2 linked regions of the Lonchura striata genome follow. The protein of the gene in region 2 binds, or shares a complex with, the protein of the main gene of each other region. Links are inferred from orthologs where the notes say so. Each region holds a gene or a part of one and is shown on either strand. Other genes may lie near its edges. The genes, in order: GOLGA7 and ZDHHC9.

Region 1 (8,409 bases), on a different chromosome or scaffold from region 2:
CACAAACCTTTCTACAGGTGCAGCAAGAATGTGGCAAGAGTTACCATGTGTTGTGGTGAGCAGAATCCAGAACTCATTTCATTTGTCCAAACAAAAAATAAAGACCTTTACTATTTGTTTCTTTTTGCAAAACAGGCATAAATGTTTCCCATTCTTTTCTGTATATACTGCTAACAATCTGAATGTAACACTCCCATCCCAATACCTGCAGAGCACCCAGCACAAGGGAACCAGTGCCAATGCCAGCTGTCCAAAAGCAAAGTCACAGAAAGCAATTTTCGTGGTCTGCACTGGATATTTGTGACTCGCCCCACAGCACCAAGAGAACTGAGAGCTCTCAGCAGAGCTTTTCAAGGCTGCTGGGCCCTCCTACCGCAAAGCATCACAAGTAAAGACATCAGCATGGTAACCAGAACAGCAGCCAGCTAAAAAACTGCAGCAAAAAGGCTCTGTATGCTAAAGTACACTCAGGGACAGAGTCCATTTTTTACTGACCCGAGAAGAATTTTGGACATAATACAGTACAAGTTAGCATATTTACACAATCAAGACTCCAATTTCTTCAACCCAGTACTGATATTTTTACTTCTAAGAAGAGCTGGTCCACACAGGCTTTATGTGAACAGTCTTTGATAACTACAAGGGTGGGATAAACTCCCAGCATGACAGCACCCAATCCTCTGAGCACAAAAAGATGTTGAGATTGATCTGAGATACAGGTAACATGTACCTAAAACTCCACAGTTTTATCTTCCACTGGTCAAACCTCTGTCTTCATAAATGGTAATTTCAATCTGCACAGAAAAGCTGTTAAGGAAATACACTATAAAGAGACTATGAAAACATACCCGGAAAAAGGCAGAAAAACATTAAGATGATGGGACTTTGATATCTGAGCTGTTTAAAGGCAGGTCCCAGAGCTCCAAAGCAAAAGGAACAGCCTATGTGAGATGCCTCATCAGGTAAGAGCACGGGCTCCCAGCCCAGGGCCTGCGCAGGAACTCATGGGGAAGGCTGTGCGCCGAGCAAAAAAAGTTAATACTGCTAATAAGTCACCTACCAAACTGAAAATGCTTTTACTCAAATTGAATGTTGGTTGTTTTTTTTTTCTTTCCAGAAGGTGTATACACAATGGAAAAACACACTGAGAAAAAAGAAGTCATGTAGGTGACAGCTCTGAGCTACATGGACAAGGACACAGAAAACCCAACTTCAACGAATTAGCCTCATCATACATTCAATTGGCATTGGGTTTCAAGTTACTGTGGTTTCAAGATTTTCAAAGAAAGCTGTGTTACTCATTATACTTCCCCATTTGCTATGAGAGGTCTTTACAACTTCAGGCAATAACCACACAAAATGTCTTCAGTGTGGCTCAACGGCTGAAGAAAAAGGGTTGAAATAAGCCATACTGGAAGCAAGAGCAAGTGCCAGGCTTGCAGTGATGTTGTATGTCAAGATCTTCACCAAAACCTCAGCTGAGGGTTGCACATTAAGTAAATTGATGTTATCACATCCATTTCTGTCCTACCAACATGGTCACTTCTTTCCCCAGTCAGAAAAACAGCATTTCTGGACATTACTGGAATAGAGGCAGGATCCTGAGCGCTCTTTCCAGGCAGGCACAAAGGTTGGGTTCCACATCTTTATGGGCTTTGCACGCACCAAACCTTAACATACTAAAACCTGACTAGGGACCAGGACACAACAAAAAGCAACAAGATTAATCACCCATTCTGTATCACAGATCGAGCATGAGCAGAGGTGCCTCACTGAGACAAACGAGGAGCACAAGGCAGGAGACAATGTCAGAAACCAGAGAAGGATACAACTCTTAATCCTCTTTCAATGGGGTCTGTCAGCAGAAGGCCCTGAGGAGCATAGATCTTCTCATTCTGTTCCTGAATGAACTTAGCAATTTTCTTTAGAACCTGGCAATGAAACAGCACAGAAGTCACAACTGTTTCCTTTCAAACAGTATCACAGCTACGGCAAGGTGAGAACTGACACACAACTGCTCTGATGGCTCGACAGTGCAGGCACTTGCCTGGATTCAGGGTGCCCCCCATGGGACCCAAAGTGACCAGTACCAGCACGCCTGAGTTACATCCATACAGCATCTGCACCAGAACATTGCAAGTCACAGGAAACCCACCAGGACCCAAGTTCTTGCCTGCAGGATGAAAGGGAAACAAGCATTTACCTTTTCATAGTGTGTCTCCATGCACAGGAAGATGGTGTAGGCAGTCAGGCAGGCGAGACAGCCTTCCAGGTAAGATTGGCCCCCAAGTTTTTCAGCTTCTGCATAGAGGTTGTTCAGTGTCCGGACTGTCTCCTCAAACTGCTGCCTGTCAATCTGCAAGAAAAGCAAGTGGGGCTGTCAGGTGCACACTGCAGAACTCACCAGTAGCCTTGTACATCCACCTCCACTCAGGGATCATCTGCACTGCACTCAGAGCCGCAGCCTGGAGCACGCAGAGTTACACACCTGCAGCTCTTTGTCAGACACCTTCCTGTGCTCAGGCTGAGTCCGAGTCAAACACAACGTGGACACAAAACCATTCAGAGCAACACTCCTAAGCTAATGTGCAATTCAGCTGTGAAACAACCGGAATTCACACCCAGGGATGTGATGGGTTAAAATGAACAGGCGAGCGTGGAGGGACACTCCACACCCTCAGTGCCTCGGTGCTGCTGCAGTGCTGACCAAACGTACCCACAACAAAGGAACAAGGAAGAGAGAAAAGCCGAGCGAGCGAAAGAAAATGGGGTAGGAAGGCGTGTTTGTTTGACTGTCAGCTTAAGAGCCCACATCTGATAGCACTGACCAAAACGTAAGTACTTGAAACAGCGTTTGTGAGGCTTCTGAGTGGGCAGGACGGGTAGGATTTCAAGGGAGAGGACAATGCTATCACCTGAGAGAACAGACCCGACTCTATTCGCACAAACACAACGAGTACATTCTGCTCTACTGCAAACCAGCCACCTTCCCCAGGACTGACCAGAGTCCGGGACCGGGACACGAGGAAGGAACCACGTCCGCTCCTGCGCCTGAGCGGTTCGGTCAGATTCCTGCAGGAGATGCTACCCCGGCCCTCGGGGAACCCGCGGGACCAGCTCCGACCGAGGCAGGGCACCTGCGAACGCCACCTGGGCGCAGGCCCGTAAGGCCCGGCCTGGTCCCGCCCGGCGTGCAGGCTCCGTGCGCCGCGCTCGCCGCGAGCCCCGGGCCAGCCCCCGTCCGCCCCGCCTCACCCGGTTCTCCAGCTCGGCCGGGAACTTGCTCTGGAACTGGCAGCGCGTCCCACCGCTGTAGTCGCGCTGGATGAACACCTTGCCCGACACAGGCGCCTGCTGCGGCCTCATTGCGCCGCCGCCCCGGTCCCGTCCGGTCCCGTCCGGTCCCGCCGCTCCGCCGGCCGCCCCGCGCACTTACGGCTGTCGCAAAACCACCGAGGCGACGCCGGGCTCGGGTGAGGGCGGAAGTGCCGCCAGGCGCCACAAGGCGCGGCACTGCGCAGGTGTAGCCTCGGAGCCCGCAGAACGGCAGGAGCGCGCATGTGCAAAAGCACCCATATCCGATTGGGCGTACGGCTGATTTCAAGCGCGGCCAGCTCACGTGACACACCCCCCCCGTTCCCTCCCAGCCGTACTTGGTACCGCCCGGGCCCGCGGCAACACCGCCTGTCCCGGCGGCCCCCCGGCGTACTTGGTACCGCCCGGGCCCACAGTCGCCGGCTGTCCCGGGGCCCGGCCCTGTCCCGGGCCCGCCGCTCCCAGCTCGGGCCTCAGTTCCATGGTTTTTCGTAGGAACCGGAGCCGCTGCGCGCAGAGCGACGCTCCCGCAGCTTTGTCGCAGCTGGCTGTGCTGCCGCACGCGGGGTCCGGTGGCGGCCCGTTAACCTTTGCCCGAGGGCTCTGGGCTGCCGAGGCAGCGAGAGCAGCGGTCCCTCGGGCCAAGGCAAACCTGGCAGCAGAGAGCGCAGGGACGGCCTCACCCCGAGCGCCGTGTCCTGGGGCTGTGCCTCTGGAGCTCATCCTCCGGGACCCGACCTTCAGGAGGGGCTCGTGCTTGGGGTGCTCGTGCTTGTGGTGCTCGTGCCGACGGTGCCATGGGGCCACACAGTGCCACTCTGCTCTTCCTGAGAGCCATGGGCAAATCCGAGGTGTTGAGCAGCCACTGACCCCTCGCTGTTCATGGGCACAGTGTTTTCCAGCCTGACCAAGCATGGACGCTTGTGGCTCTCAGAGCAGACAGACACTTTGAAACAGAGTCTTTCAGGCCACCTAATGCAGTAGAGATGCAAGAGGACAAATCAAATTTATAGACATAGCTAAAGGTGGGAGATATACTCGCAAAGCCAATTTGTGTCATTTTATGGGCTTGAAAGAGTCTAAGTCAGACGTCCCTGTATGGTTTGAATTAGGCAGGGACGGGTATTCTGGAAAGCCAGATCTGAAGAAGTTTTTATTTAGGGCATTTGAAATTGAGTATGGGCCATCCAGCATTTCTGTAATGCTCTCAAATAAAGTATTTCAGAACACAAGCTTCCACATGACAAAGAAAATGATGAATACATGAAAATAGAGATATCTATCTTGCATTAAATATTCAGGAATAGAATTTCATCTGTGTATCAACAGACAAACTGAGAATTTCAAAGGGTGCTGCTTTCAAAAGAAAAATGTTTAAAAACCCAAAAATACAGAAAGAAGCTCTAAGTAGCACCAAAAAATGCAGGTTTTTTTTCTCTTTTTTTTGTGCTATCAACAAGGTTATCTGTTTTATTGTCTGAACAGGAGCATGACTGCAGGGCCTGGAACTAGCAGATCCATGTCCTGACAGCTCAGGTGGCCCCTCTGGGATGTCCCAGCACCCTGCCTGGCATGGGGCTCCCCAGGCACCCCAGCTTGTGCTGACTGGACATGTGAATTGGGTAGCCAGCAGTTCCTTCCTGGGCTGGCTGGAATCCTGGCACCCTTCCTCCAGCACAAGGAGCCACCAAGACTCAAGCCTGTGAGCTCTGCAATGCCTTTTGTGCCCTGCAAGCCAAAAGCAGGAAGGAGACCTTGGCAGCATTGAGTTAGTTAATGGTTGCACTCAGTGATCTAGAGGTCTTTTCCAACCTTAGTGATTGTGTGATTCTAAGACTATTTCGGCAGAGGGATAAGCCCCTCACTCCCAACTGCCAAGCTCAGCTGCCAGAAAAGTTCCCCGGGAAGTAGCACAATCTTTGTTTGGTCATTAAAGCAGAAAAAGAGAGAGGGAATCTTAGGAAATGCTTGAAACGATTAGGTGATCTTAACTCTAAGGAGCTAAACAAATGCAAAGCAATTCCCCCCTCAGCCCCTCGTGCTGCTGTAGAATGTAATCTCATTTCTAAACACACAATTACAGAAAATAAAAAGAAAAGAAAAGAATAATTAATTTCTGCTTCCTCATGCAAATCCTCTGACCAATCATTTAGGGATCAGGAGCAATTCAGCTTCTTGTGCAAATTCCAAACTGAAGGCCTGAAAAAAACAAGTGAATGGATTTACTTTTCTAAGAACCAGAATTAACAAAGGTTCCATTTTCCATGGTTATGTGCCTGGCCAGACAGCCCTTGCTGACAAGCTCTCAAAAAACATGTGTTGGTCTGTTGAAAAGGCCCCAGTGTTGACTGACAGACAATTGAAGTGACAAATTGTTTCATTGTACTTGGCAGGGAGAGCGCTGTATTAGATAATTATGGCGAGGAGGGAAGCGACAGGTCATAGGTCAGAAGACACGTCTGACCCTGTTTTCTGAAAGCCCTGAAAGAAGCCCATGCCCGGGCGAGCAGCGTGATGCTGTAGCTGCTTTTCCTTCCGCTGTGGTGATTAAGAGCTAACGAAGATAGAGTGGGGATGAGCTGGATCCGTTCTCGCCCCAGTCATGGCTCCTAGGACAGGAGTGTGGTCCTCAGGACAGGAGTGTGGCTCTCAGGACAGGAGCGTGGCTTCTAGGACAGAAGTGTGGCTCTCAGGATGGGAGTGTGGCTCCCAGGATAAGAGTGTGACTCTCAGGATGGGGATTGTGGCTCTCAGGATGGGAGTGTGGCTTCTAGGACAGAAGTGTGGCTCCCAGGACAGAAGTGTGGCTCTCAGGTTGGGAGTGTGGCTCTCAGGACAGGAGTGTGGCTCCCAGGACAAGAGTGTGGCTCTCAGGATTGGAGTGTGGCTCTCAGGATTGGAGTGTGGCTCTCAGGACGAGGAGTGTGGCTCTCGGGACGGGAGTGTGGCTCCCGGGATAGGAGTGTGGCTCTCAGGACAGGATAGTGGCTCTCAGGACGGGAGTGTGGCTCTCAGGACGGGAGTGTGGCTCCCAGGACAAGAGTGTGGCTCTCAGGAAAGGAGTGTGGCTCTCAGGACGGGAGTGTGGCTCTCAGGACGGGAGTGTGGCTCTCAGGATTGGAGTGTGGCTCCCAGGATAGGAGTGTGGCTCTCAGGACAGGATAGTGGCTTTCAGGACGGGAGCGTGGCTCTCAGGACGGGAGTGTGGCTCCTGGGATAGGAGTGTGGCTCTCAGGATTGGAGTGTGGCTCCCAGGATAGGAGTGTGGCTCTCAGGACAGGGATTGTGGCTCTCAGGATGGGAGTGTGGCTCTCGGGATGGGAGTGTGGCTCCCTGGATAGGAGTGTGGCTCTCAGGACGGGAGTGTGGCTCTCAGGACAGGATAGTGGCTCTCAGGATAGGGGTGTGGCTCTCAGGACGAGGAGTGTGGCTCTCGGGATAGTAGTGTGGCTCTCAGGATGGGAGTGTGGCTCTCAGGATGGGAGTGTGGCTCTCAGGACGGGGAGTGTGGTGCCCCAGCAGCACCCACCACCCCTCGCTGGCCCCAGGGGCCTGAAGCATTGATAGCTGCCTTCAGCAGAATGTTGGGACACTACCACCTTTGGAGCAGCGCCAGATGCCTACGAGCACCTCAGCAGTCCACGTTTCCTGGCAGGAAAAAGCACCACGTCTGCCCCCAGTCCTGTCCCAGGCACTCAGGCTCAGGCTCCTTCGCAGCCTGCAAGCACCAGCAGGACCAACCCTGCCCCGCTGGGGCCTGGTTTTTTTGCAGGCTACAACAGAGTACAACTAATAGTTATTGCAGCTTCTCTCTTGCCACAGAAATAAAATATGGCATGGAATCACAGCACAGCTACTCCATTGAGAGCAATGTTACACTGAGTAATACCAATAATTCAAAACAGATGAGCTAAAGGCTCAAGCACTATGGGCTCAGTATCCCAGTCTGCCCTGACCCCTGGAATTCGCTGAAAGTTACCTTGAGACTCGCCAGAACTCTTTTGTAACTTCTGTGAGGGTTATTTATTGCAAAGTCATAAATATTTGCTATGGATTTTCTCCATCAATCTACAAAATGAATTAGGTTAGAAAAACTAAATGTACTTGGATTTTGGGCATGTGTTTCCCAGGCAGGGGAGAAAGCATTGGATCTCCATTGTGCAGAAGACGGGCTGCTGTAGAGCTTTGGGCTCTGCTGCCTGCACTAATGAATTCCCTTCCACAAGCAGTTTAAAATGCACAGTACAGTTGAGAAAGGGGGAAGGGAGGAAAGAGAGTCTTCTTTAAATCCCTTTTAAAATATTTCATAAAATTATTATTGGGGAAAGGAAAATTCTGTTTCCCTCTCCTCCTTCCCAGACACCCTGCCAGTCCATTAAAACCCTGAAACTGAGAGGCAGCATGTTGTGCCCCAGGGAATCAGCCTTAACTCAACATCTCAAAGACTACCTCAGAAGCCAGCTCTGGCAGCTGGATGTGGGGATGGAAGCAGAGTGCCCAGGCTCCTCTCTTTCCATCCCAAGGCAAAGCTGTCTTGGGGCAAAGCCACCTCGCTTTCTCACTGTTAAAAAGAGGAGGGAGAGCAGGACTTGCCCTGCCTTGCAGGCATTTCTTTTAACAAGTTTTTATTCATAAAAGCACTTAAATGAGACCTTAACTTTGAGGATACTACAGTAGAATTTGAGCACAGGTGGATGCTGTATCTGGTGGTGAGGGGGTGACAATGAGAAGTGGGGCAAGTTCTTCCCCCAGAAGTTGGTCAGGCACTGAACAGGCTCCCGAGAGCAGTGGTCACAGCTCCAAACCTGTCAGAGTTCAAGTGTTTGGACAACGCTCTCAGGCACAGGGTGAAATTCTCATGCATGTGAGAAGGGGCAGGAGATGGACTTTGACAATCCGTGTGGGTCCTTTCTAATTAAGCCTCCAGGATCCTGTACCTTTTCAACCACTGCCAAGTGACTGCATAGGACCTGGCAGCCTGTGTGTCCAGGCAGCAAGTCCTGCACCCCTATGGCTGCTCATCCTGCCACCAAAAGCTCCTGAAAAGGTTTGCATGAATGAGCTGATCTAGCTTTGTTTCTGCTCCTATGGTTT
Region 2 (8,040 bases):
GTCAGAGACAAAAGAAATCCCATTCCCTTCAGCTGAGCATGGAACTCACTTCAGGAGAGATGGGAACTGCAAAGGGAACTCCCAGCCTGAGAGTTCCCTGCATCCCATCATCCCAGTTCATAAAGGGATTTTTTACAAGTGCTTTATCTGGTCCCCTTATGCAGGAGCACCTCAAGAAGACAGCAGCTAAGTGCCCAACCACAGGGCTGACGTACCATTAGGAGTCTGAAATAACGCCAAGAGGATGTGAAACTGTATTTTACGGGACGTGTTATGGAGCAGACCCAGTTAAACACAGCTCTCGGACTCTGCAGGGAGCAGCGGGAGCTGCTCCGTAGTGGTGAGAGAGGTGCCCTTGGGCAGAGGACTCCAGTCGGTCGCTGCAGAGCCCTTCCCGGGAACCAGCACAGCTCCGTCCCTCTGCCTTATCTAAGAGGGAGGAGTCGGATCTCAGGTACAGCACTGAGTTCTGCCAGCTTCTGGCTCCTGTCTGCTCCTGGAGGGAGAGATTTCCCCAGTCCCAAAACACAGCGCTGCGGTTTGGGGGATCAACACACAGAAATTCCCACGCACGGGGCTGAGGCGGCTCAGCCCGCTGGCCTGTGGACACCGCGGAGCAGCTGGCAGCACTGGAGAAACCTGGAGGAAAACCAGCACCAGCAGCAGCCCCATCGCTCCAGGGCTGGGAAGGAAGGGTTGTGGCTTTCCTCCTGCCGTGGGTGCTGGTCCCCACCGGCCTCAGCTGTAACTGGAGCCAGGGCAGCCCGGAGCACCAGGATCAAGCCCAGCCCGGCGCAGGGCGAGCAGCCAGACAGATCCTGGCTCAGTCGGAGCCGCGCTCAGACAAGGTGTGACTGCGCAAGTGATTCAGCTGAATGGAGAGGCACAGGCAGCCTGCAGTGAGGGACAGCCAGGGAAAGGCTCCTCCGCCCACCGCCGGCTGCCGCGCTCCGAATCCACACAGCAACTTTCACGGGGAAACCAGGAATTTCCACGCAAACACTAAAGAATCTGCCAAACACTGAGACAACACAGTGAAAGAGCGAGGCTGAGATCCTCACCCAGAGCTCCCTACACATGCAGGGCAGGCAGGGCTCCTGAGCAGCCAAGCTACTTATCTCAGCCTGATCAGTGAAACAGAGACCTTGGGAAGTGTTTCCAGCTGGGAAGGCAACATTTCATCCCTATCCCAAATTCAAAAATCCCCAAACAAGTTCAAAACAATCTCCTCTGTTCCAAACAAAAAAAAAATACTGAGGTGTTCTGCACTGAAAGAATCGGTTCATTGGGTATTTGGATTTTCCCAAACTTTTCCTTATCTCCCTCAATGATTTAACTAAAATTCAGAGGTGATCCTGTTCCCAGCAGCATTCCCCCCGCAGAGCCCACCCTCCAGGTCTACACACAGCCTCAATGTCTCGGTGCAAGCGACTCCTCCACAGGCCTCTGCCTGCCAGAGCATGGAAAGGGGCTTCTCAAGGAATTTCCAGTCACGTTCCTGACTAACCACAGCCTAGGTCTGGAAAACAGCCTTGGCTCACTCTGCCTTAGCGCAACCAAGGCAGAGCGGGATGTGGTTCATGCTCCTGCTACGGGCAGGATCCACAGGGAGCCAGAGCAATTATCCCTCAAATCAGTGTTTCTGGTGCAGCAATAAGCGTTTCTGGAGCAGCAACACTTAATAGTTCTTCCTGTAAGGCAGGAAGGCTCAGCCCTATTTTTCAGATGGAAAAAACCCCAAACATCAAACCAAGAGCGGTGTCACTTAGTACCTCAGAATTCAGACTGAGACAGAGATAATTCGGGCAGGGAACTAGGGAGAGACACGCTGGGCCAGGGAATGTGGAAACAAGTTCCCTGGCTTAGGAACTATGCTGAGGAGGACAGCATCTGGGCCCAGGGCTTTTTGGAATAGCCAGGGGCTTAGCCAGTGAGCAGGTCCTTTTACTCGCTCATCTTGGCTTTTCAACCTTTTGTATTACCCAACCCTATTTCAGCCCTTCTGCTGCCCCACAACACAAACATGCCCATGGAGACCGAGGAAGGGAAGTTTTTCAGTTGTTTAACTGATCCAAGTTCATCCTCTAGCCAGGCAACAGGGGTGTCCTGCCCCCTGCTGCAGCATCAGCCCAGACAAACATAGGCTTTTCCCTTTTTGCTTGTTTTTTGATTTCAGGATTAGTCTAAGGCCAGCCAAACTCCCCAGCCCAGCTCCCAGGGAGAGCTGAGGGGAGAGGGCAGATCCCTCTATTTCAGAGGTGGCAGATCCCTCTTTTTCAGCAGGATCAAAGGTTTTGGCCGAAGGTCTTTAGGCTGCTGAGGTGATGGAAGGGGTGGTCGGATCCTTCCTAAATACCAGCGTGGCTCTGCCTGCACTGCAGCCTGGGGCTGGGGCTAGGTCAGACTGGCAGGACCCTCCAGCTCATTTTTCATTAATCCTCCTGCTGGGGTCACCTCCCTAGTGGGGCTGATGTGGGGGCTGCAGGGACACAGGCTGTGCCCCAGGGCTGCAGCACTGTCCCCTTGCACCCCGGCTATCCTGGAGCCAGGAGCACTCGGGACAAGGGACTGCCAAGTCCCAAGACAGAAGGTGACCCACAGGGAAGCAGGGCCAGTGTCACCCCTTGGCAGGGCTCCGGCAGGGCCCATTCCCCCCAGAACCTCCAGGGTCAGTCTGCTGAGGGTGAGGAAGCAGATCTGGACAGGGAGAGCCGCACTCCGCTTCCCTCCCTCTCCCGGAGGCCCCGGGCACACGGGCCCGTCCCCGTCCCGTGGGTCCCCGCGGAACTCACTCGAAGGCGAAGAAGAGGGCGCAGGTGCCGAGGATGAGGAAGAGCGTCAGGTAGAAGATGCCCTTCTGCCGGGCCATCATGATACGGCCGTCGCAGCAGAAGGTGTTCCTGCCCGGCAGCTTCTCCCATTTCCGAACCACCTTCTTCCTCGCCACCATCACCGACATGGCGGGGCCGTCACTGGGGCGGCGGCGGCCGCCGCACGTTCGGGCGCTGCTGCTGCTGCTGCTCCGCCGCCCGAGCGCCCAGCATCATCGGGGCCCCGCGGGGCCGAGCTGGGCTGGGCTGGGCCGGCGGCTGCGGGAGAGGGAACGGGGAAAGCGCTCGGTCAGCACCAGGGCGGCGGCGGCACCGGCACGGGGGGCGGCGGCCGCCGTCGCCATGGAAACCCCGCGCCCGGGAGGGGCGTTGCCGTGGGAATCCACCCGGGAGGGGCGCGGGGCGCGGCCAGGAAGACCCTCGGGTGGGCGGCTCCGCACCGGGAGGGGACGCGGCAGGGCCCGGCCACACAAGGCACGGCAGCCCCGGCTGTGCGGGCGTGCCGGGAGCCGCGGAGAGCGCGGATGGGAAGGGTTAGAGAGGAGACGGGAGGGAAGGGGAAGGGAGGGAAGGGGCCGGGAAGGGCCCCGCGCCGCCGCTCACCCGGTGCCGGTGCCGCTCGGGCCGCGCCGGTCGCTCGCACCGCGCCGGGAGGGGCCGCCACGCCCCGCGCCCGAACGGGGCGGAGCCGCCGCGGCCATTGGTCCCGCCGCGCCCTTCGCCCCGCCCCGCCGCTTCCCGCCTTTCTATTGGGCGAGCGCGCTGTCAATCCGTGGCAGCTCCTCCCACTGCACCCCTTCTCGCCACTCCATTGGTCACTGGCGCTGTCACTTCGTGGTGACTCCTCCCACCCCGCCTCTTCTCGCTGGTTCATTGGCTGAGGGCGCTGCCACTCCGCGTGGTTGACCCGCCCCGGTGCGGACAAGGGAGGGCGGGGTGAGGGCGGGGCGCGGCACGTGGTGGGGCGGGGCCGTGAGGGCTCATCCCCCACTGCTCCCTCCAGACCTCCCGGTGCAGCCCCCCGTTCCTCTTTTAACCTTTTCTCTCCCCGGGTGTCTACAAGGACCGGGCTTCCGAGTCCCAGCGCCGCGGGGAGCGCACGGGATGCTCCCGTCGTGGGTTCCCCGCCCCTCCCGCCCCATCCGCACATTCCCACATTTCGCACAGTAGTTTTCATACGGTTTTGCACGCCCACACCGTGGGGTTGGGTCCGGAGAGCCCCCCAGGATTCCATTGCCGGCATCCTGCCAGGGGCATCCCATCGATCCCTGTCATCCCAGCCCCTTTGGAATCCCGCACACAGCGCTCCCGCCGGGCACGTGGCTGCCAGCAAAGGCAGGGCCCGGAGCGCCAAACCGAGGGGAAAACACAGAACTTTTCCCGCGGCTGTTGCTATGGAGACGGGAGCGGACGGGGAGCAGCTCGTTATCCCCGTCCCTCCTGCCCCGAGCCCCCGTGCGCCCGGCTCGGGACGGAGCAGAACGACAAGGGGCGCGGGCAGGACGGGCGCTGCGGGCGCAGTGGCGGACACTGACACCGCTTCGTGGCTGACAATTCCGTGTGTTTGCTCCAACCATCCTCCAGATCCTATTGACCCCCAAAACGCTCCCAGGAGCCGGGTTCGGCCGCCGGGAGGAACCGGAGGTGCGGCAGCTCCGTCCCGAGCCCGCGGCACTGGCGCGACCCGAGGGAAAACAGCGAATCCTGGAATCCCTGCGGCCGGGGGCAGCCACGAGAGTCAGGGACGGAGCGAAGACCCGCAGAACTGCGGTGTCCCGGCGGCTCCCGAGGCGGGCGGGGCGCTGCCCGCCCCTCCCGGACCCCTTCGGTCCCTCCGCCTCTCCCGCCCCGCCCGCCGGGCCCGCTGCCATGGCAACCCGCACGTCACGGCGGCGCGCTTTGCGGCAGGGCGCCGGGGCTCGGCGCGACACTCGGCGGCGCTTTGCGGCAGTACCGGCGTGCGGGGCCATGGCGGAGCAGGAGCCGGCGGCGGCGGCGGCGGGGAGCGACAGCGACAGCGAGGAGGGGGTGAGCGGGGCCGGGAACAGCGCCACGGGCTCTCCGGGTAGCCTCCACCGCTGTTTGCGGCGCTCCGGGCGCTCTCCCGGCCGCGGTGGGCGCAGCGGAGGACGGCATGGCCTGGCCGGGGATGTCGGGCCCGGGAGCCGGCCGGGCGGTGCCGTTGGGGGCACCGGGGAGAACGGGGGAGCGGGCGCTGGGGCCAGGTTGGGTCTGTGACCGCGTGTGCCCTGTGGCAGGAGGATGGCGAGCGGCGGCACCGGCAGCTCCTGGAGGCCATCAGCGCCTTGTCCGGACGCAAACGGTGAGTGGCGGCTGCGGGCGTCCCGGGGCTCCTGCGGCAGCCGCGTGGGTGGCGGGAGGCTGCCCAGCAAGGAGGGCAGGGGACAGGCCTCGGCCCCTGCCCTCGGCACCGGCCCCAGGCCCCCCAGAGCAGCCGGCGGATACGAGGAACCTTCGGGGGTGTTTTCTGTGTCTCTCTCGCAGGCGGAAGCTGGCGGAACGCTCGGAGGCCAGCGGGCAGGTGTCCGAGTTCAATGTCAGCTGCAAAGGTGAGCGGGGAGCAGGACAGGGCTCGCGGAGCTGGGATGGCGCTGCCCGCCGAGAGCCCCCGTGAGGGCTGGGCCAGCTCCCTCACCCGGCAGTGCCACACCTGTGCGTAGGTGCTGGGGAAAAGCTGCTTCTGTCGGAGCTGCTGCAGCCCATTCATCCCAAATCCACGCTGGGCAGTGTGAGGAAGGAGCTGGCCAGAGTGAAGCAGAAGGCGGCGGTGGAGCTGCCACTGAGCAAAGAGGAGGCCAAGAGGGTGAGTGCAGGGAGCCAGGGGAGTCTGAGCTGAGCCCCCAGGACCCCCGTGTGCCTCCCTGATGCCACCATCACCTTTCTCTGCCTGTCCCATTCCCCTGCAGGTGGTGAGGGAAGCGGCCTACGTGACCAGCTCGAAGGAGGTGGGGAAGTGGCAGCAGGTGGTGCTGCAGAACCGGCGTGCAGAGCAGCTGGTGTTCCCCCTGCGGCAGGACATCGCCACCGTCACCCCTCTGGAGAGGGTCACCTCAGCGTGGAAGGTGACACCGGGGCTCACACGGCTGGGGTGGCTCTGGGGGCACTGCTGGGTGGCTCCAGGATCAGCTGGGGCAGGTTGATGTCTCCTGGCTGTGCCAGGGGCAGTGGTGGCAGGCCCAGACTGGGGGTGACACTGGGCAGGTGCCCGCTGAGCTTGGGAAGGTTAGAAGGGCAGTTTTACAGAGCAGGTGTGTAAATTCCATCTGGGACAAGCCAGGTAGGGTGTGAGCAGAGGGTTTGGAGCCTGCTGTGTCCCTTCTTGTAGCCTCTCAGGGCCAGGCACATGGGAGTGTCCCTTGGCCACAAGTGCTGAGACAGAGGGGATTGGTTTGCCAAGTCCTGTGTGCCTGGAAACATTCCTTACAAAAGAGGGAGGTGTTTGGTTTTGAATGCAAGTTGTTGTGGGGTTGTGCTGCTTGCAGGAGAGCACTGCTGTCCCTGGCAGTTGTCAGATGCCCAGGTGAGGAAGGGACGGCCCCTACTGAACTCCCAGCAAACCTGTTGCTCACACTGATCTGCCCAAAAGTCCCTTTCTGTTTTGGAGGGACGTGGCATTGCATGGCCTGGAACTCCTGTGTGGTTCCCCCTGGTCAGCACTGCCTGGCAACTGGGAGGCCATTTTTCTAATGCGGGAGGAATTCTACCTGCCCTCACCGGGCCATGTGGCTGGGAGAGTGCCCAAGGGCTGTGGTGTGGGAGCCATGAGTGGGGCTATGGCCACCCAGTCCCCCAAGGCAGGGGATGCTTCTCTGGGCCTTCCACAGACCAACGTGGGGGCAGTGAGAATGGATGGGGACATCCAGGGGAGCACTGCTGCTTGCACTTCTCCTCATCCTCTTGCCATGTCTACTGTCCCAACAGGCCCGAACTCCACTGGAGCAGGAGATCTTTGGATTGCTCCACAAGACACAGCAGCCCATCACAGACCCGCTGCTGACACCAGAGGAGATGGCCTCAGTGCAGGCCATGAGCTTGGAGGAGGTGAGGCTTTATCCTGCTGGGCCCTGGCTCTGGGGGCCTCTTCCTTGGCCCCGTTCCTCACCCTGTGCTCCCCGTGCCTCACCCCCTGCTCCCCGTGCCTCACCCCGCGCTGTCCTCCCTCACCCCCCGTTCCCCTCCCTCACCCCCCGTTCCCCTCCCTCACCCCGCGCTCCCCGGCAGGCTCGGCGCCGGCGGGCGGAGCTGCAGAAGGCCCGGGCATTGCAGTCCTACTATGAGGCCAAGGCTCGGCGAGCGAAGCGGATCAAGAGCAAGAAGTGAGGCTGTGCCTGTGCTGGGCTGGGCACATTGACAGGGCAGGGCAGGCCAGCCCTGCCTCACCCGTGGCTGCCCAGCCCCTGAGCCACCCCTGTGCCACAGGTACCACCGCGTGCTCAAGAAGAGCCGGAGGCGCCAGGCCCTGAAGGAGTTCGAGCAGCTGCACAAGTCGGACCCTGCGGCCGCCTTGGAACGGCTGGAGGAGCTGGAGCAGCTCAGGATGCAGGTGCTGCCCCGGCACCTCTGCCTCACCCCTCGGGAGGGCCCTGCTCCTTGGGGAGCTCTGTGTGATGCTTCTCTTTCCCCAGGAGCGGATGAGCCTTAAGCACCAGAACAAGGGAAAATGGGCCCGATCCAGGGCCATTATGGCTAAGTATGACCTCGAGGTGAGATGGAGCCACAGAAGGGTTTTGTGAGAAGGGACCTTTAAGCTCACCCAGTTCCACCCCCCTGCCATGGGCAGGGACACTTTCCACCAGACCAAGTTGCTCCAAGCCCTGACCAACCTGTCCTTGAACATTTCTGGGGATGGGGCAGCCACAGCTTCTCTGGGCAATCTCTGCCTTGGCTTCCCCACCCTCACAGGAAAGAATTTCTTCCCAATATCCCATCTAGCCCTTCCTTCTGTCAATGTGCAGCCATTCCCCCTTGTCCTGTCCCTCCAAGCCACAGTATAAAGTTTCTCTATCTCTTATAATCCCATTTATATATTGGAATGCCGTGGCAGGATCCTCAGCATTGCTTGGGGAAGGAGAGGAGACTGAGGGAATGGGAAGGGCAGGGAAGGTTGGGAATGTTGTCTCTGCCCTGTGTTAGAGCCTCTCGGTGCCTCCCAGGCCCGCAAGGCCTTGCAGGAGCAGCTGGCCAGGAA

The links.
Region 1: the proteins of ZDHHC9 (region 2) and GOLGA7 are in contact, whole or in part, in a cryo-EM structure (PDB 8HF3), measured with the Homo sapiens proteins. The link is inferred for Lonchura striata from reciprocal best matches to the Homo sapiens genes ZDHHC9 and GOLGA7. Residues at the interface, in NP_001008223.1 of Homo sapiens: Phe78, Ala81, Arg85, Ile94, Pro95, Leu98, Asp100, Glu101, Phe104, Ile105, Phe129, Gln130, Ile131, Asn132, Ile146, Pro149, Pro150, Arg182, Tyr183, Leu186, Tyr274, Lys281, Cys284, Glu285, Leu287, Cys288, Gly289, Pro290, Leu291, Pro292; in NP_001002296.1 of Homo sapiens: Lys11, Phe13, Gln15, Tyr18, Ser19, Ser20, Gly21, Thr22, Ala57, Glu58, Leu60, Ser64, Tyr65, Gly68, Cys72, Ala75, Tyr76, Thr77, Phe79, Leu80, Tyr86, Glu87, Leu90, Ile116, Arg118, Gly119, Arg121, Val122.

What each region holds. Positions count from the first base shown.
Region 1 is NC_134634.1:4,765,461-4,773,869, reverse strand, and holds the start of GOLGA7 (golgin subfamily A member 7), read right to left. Parts: upstream 3,524-8,409; 5' UTR 3,367-3,523; coding exon 3,256-3,366; intron 2,357-3,255; coding exon 2,204-2,356; intron 1,932-2,203; coding exon 1,830-1,931; intron 795-1,829; coding exon 747-794; 3' UTR 731-746; intron 1-730. UniProt on the Homo sapiens protein: May be involved in protein transport from Golgi to cell surface. The ZDHHC9-GOLGA7 complex is a palmitoyltransferase specific for HRAS and NRAS.
Region 2 is NC_134616.1:15,265,071-15,273,110, forward strand, and holds the start of ZDHHC9 (palmitoyltransferase ZDHHC9), read right to left. Parts: upstream 3,454-8,040; 5' UTR 3,435-3,453; intron 3,164-3,434; exon of another isoform or gene 3,090-3,163; 5' UTR 2,960-3,089; coding exon 2,793-2,959; intron 1-2,792. Other genes in the region: UTP14A (U3 small nucleolar RNA-associated protein 14 homolog A), read left to right, coding at 4,701-4,859, 5,090-5,154, 5,337-5,401, 5,513-5,655, 5,759-5,914, 6,774-6,893, 7,074-7,168, 7,272-7,395 and 2 more. UniProt on the Homo sapiens protein: Palmitoyltransferase that catalyzes the addition of palmitate onto various protein substrates, such as ADRB2, GSDMD, HRAS, NRAS and CGAS. The ZDHHC9-GOLGA7 complex is a palmitoyltransferase specific for HRAS and NRAS.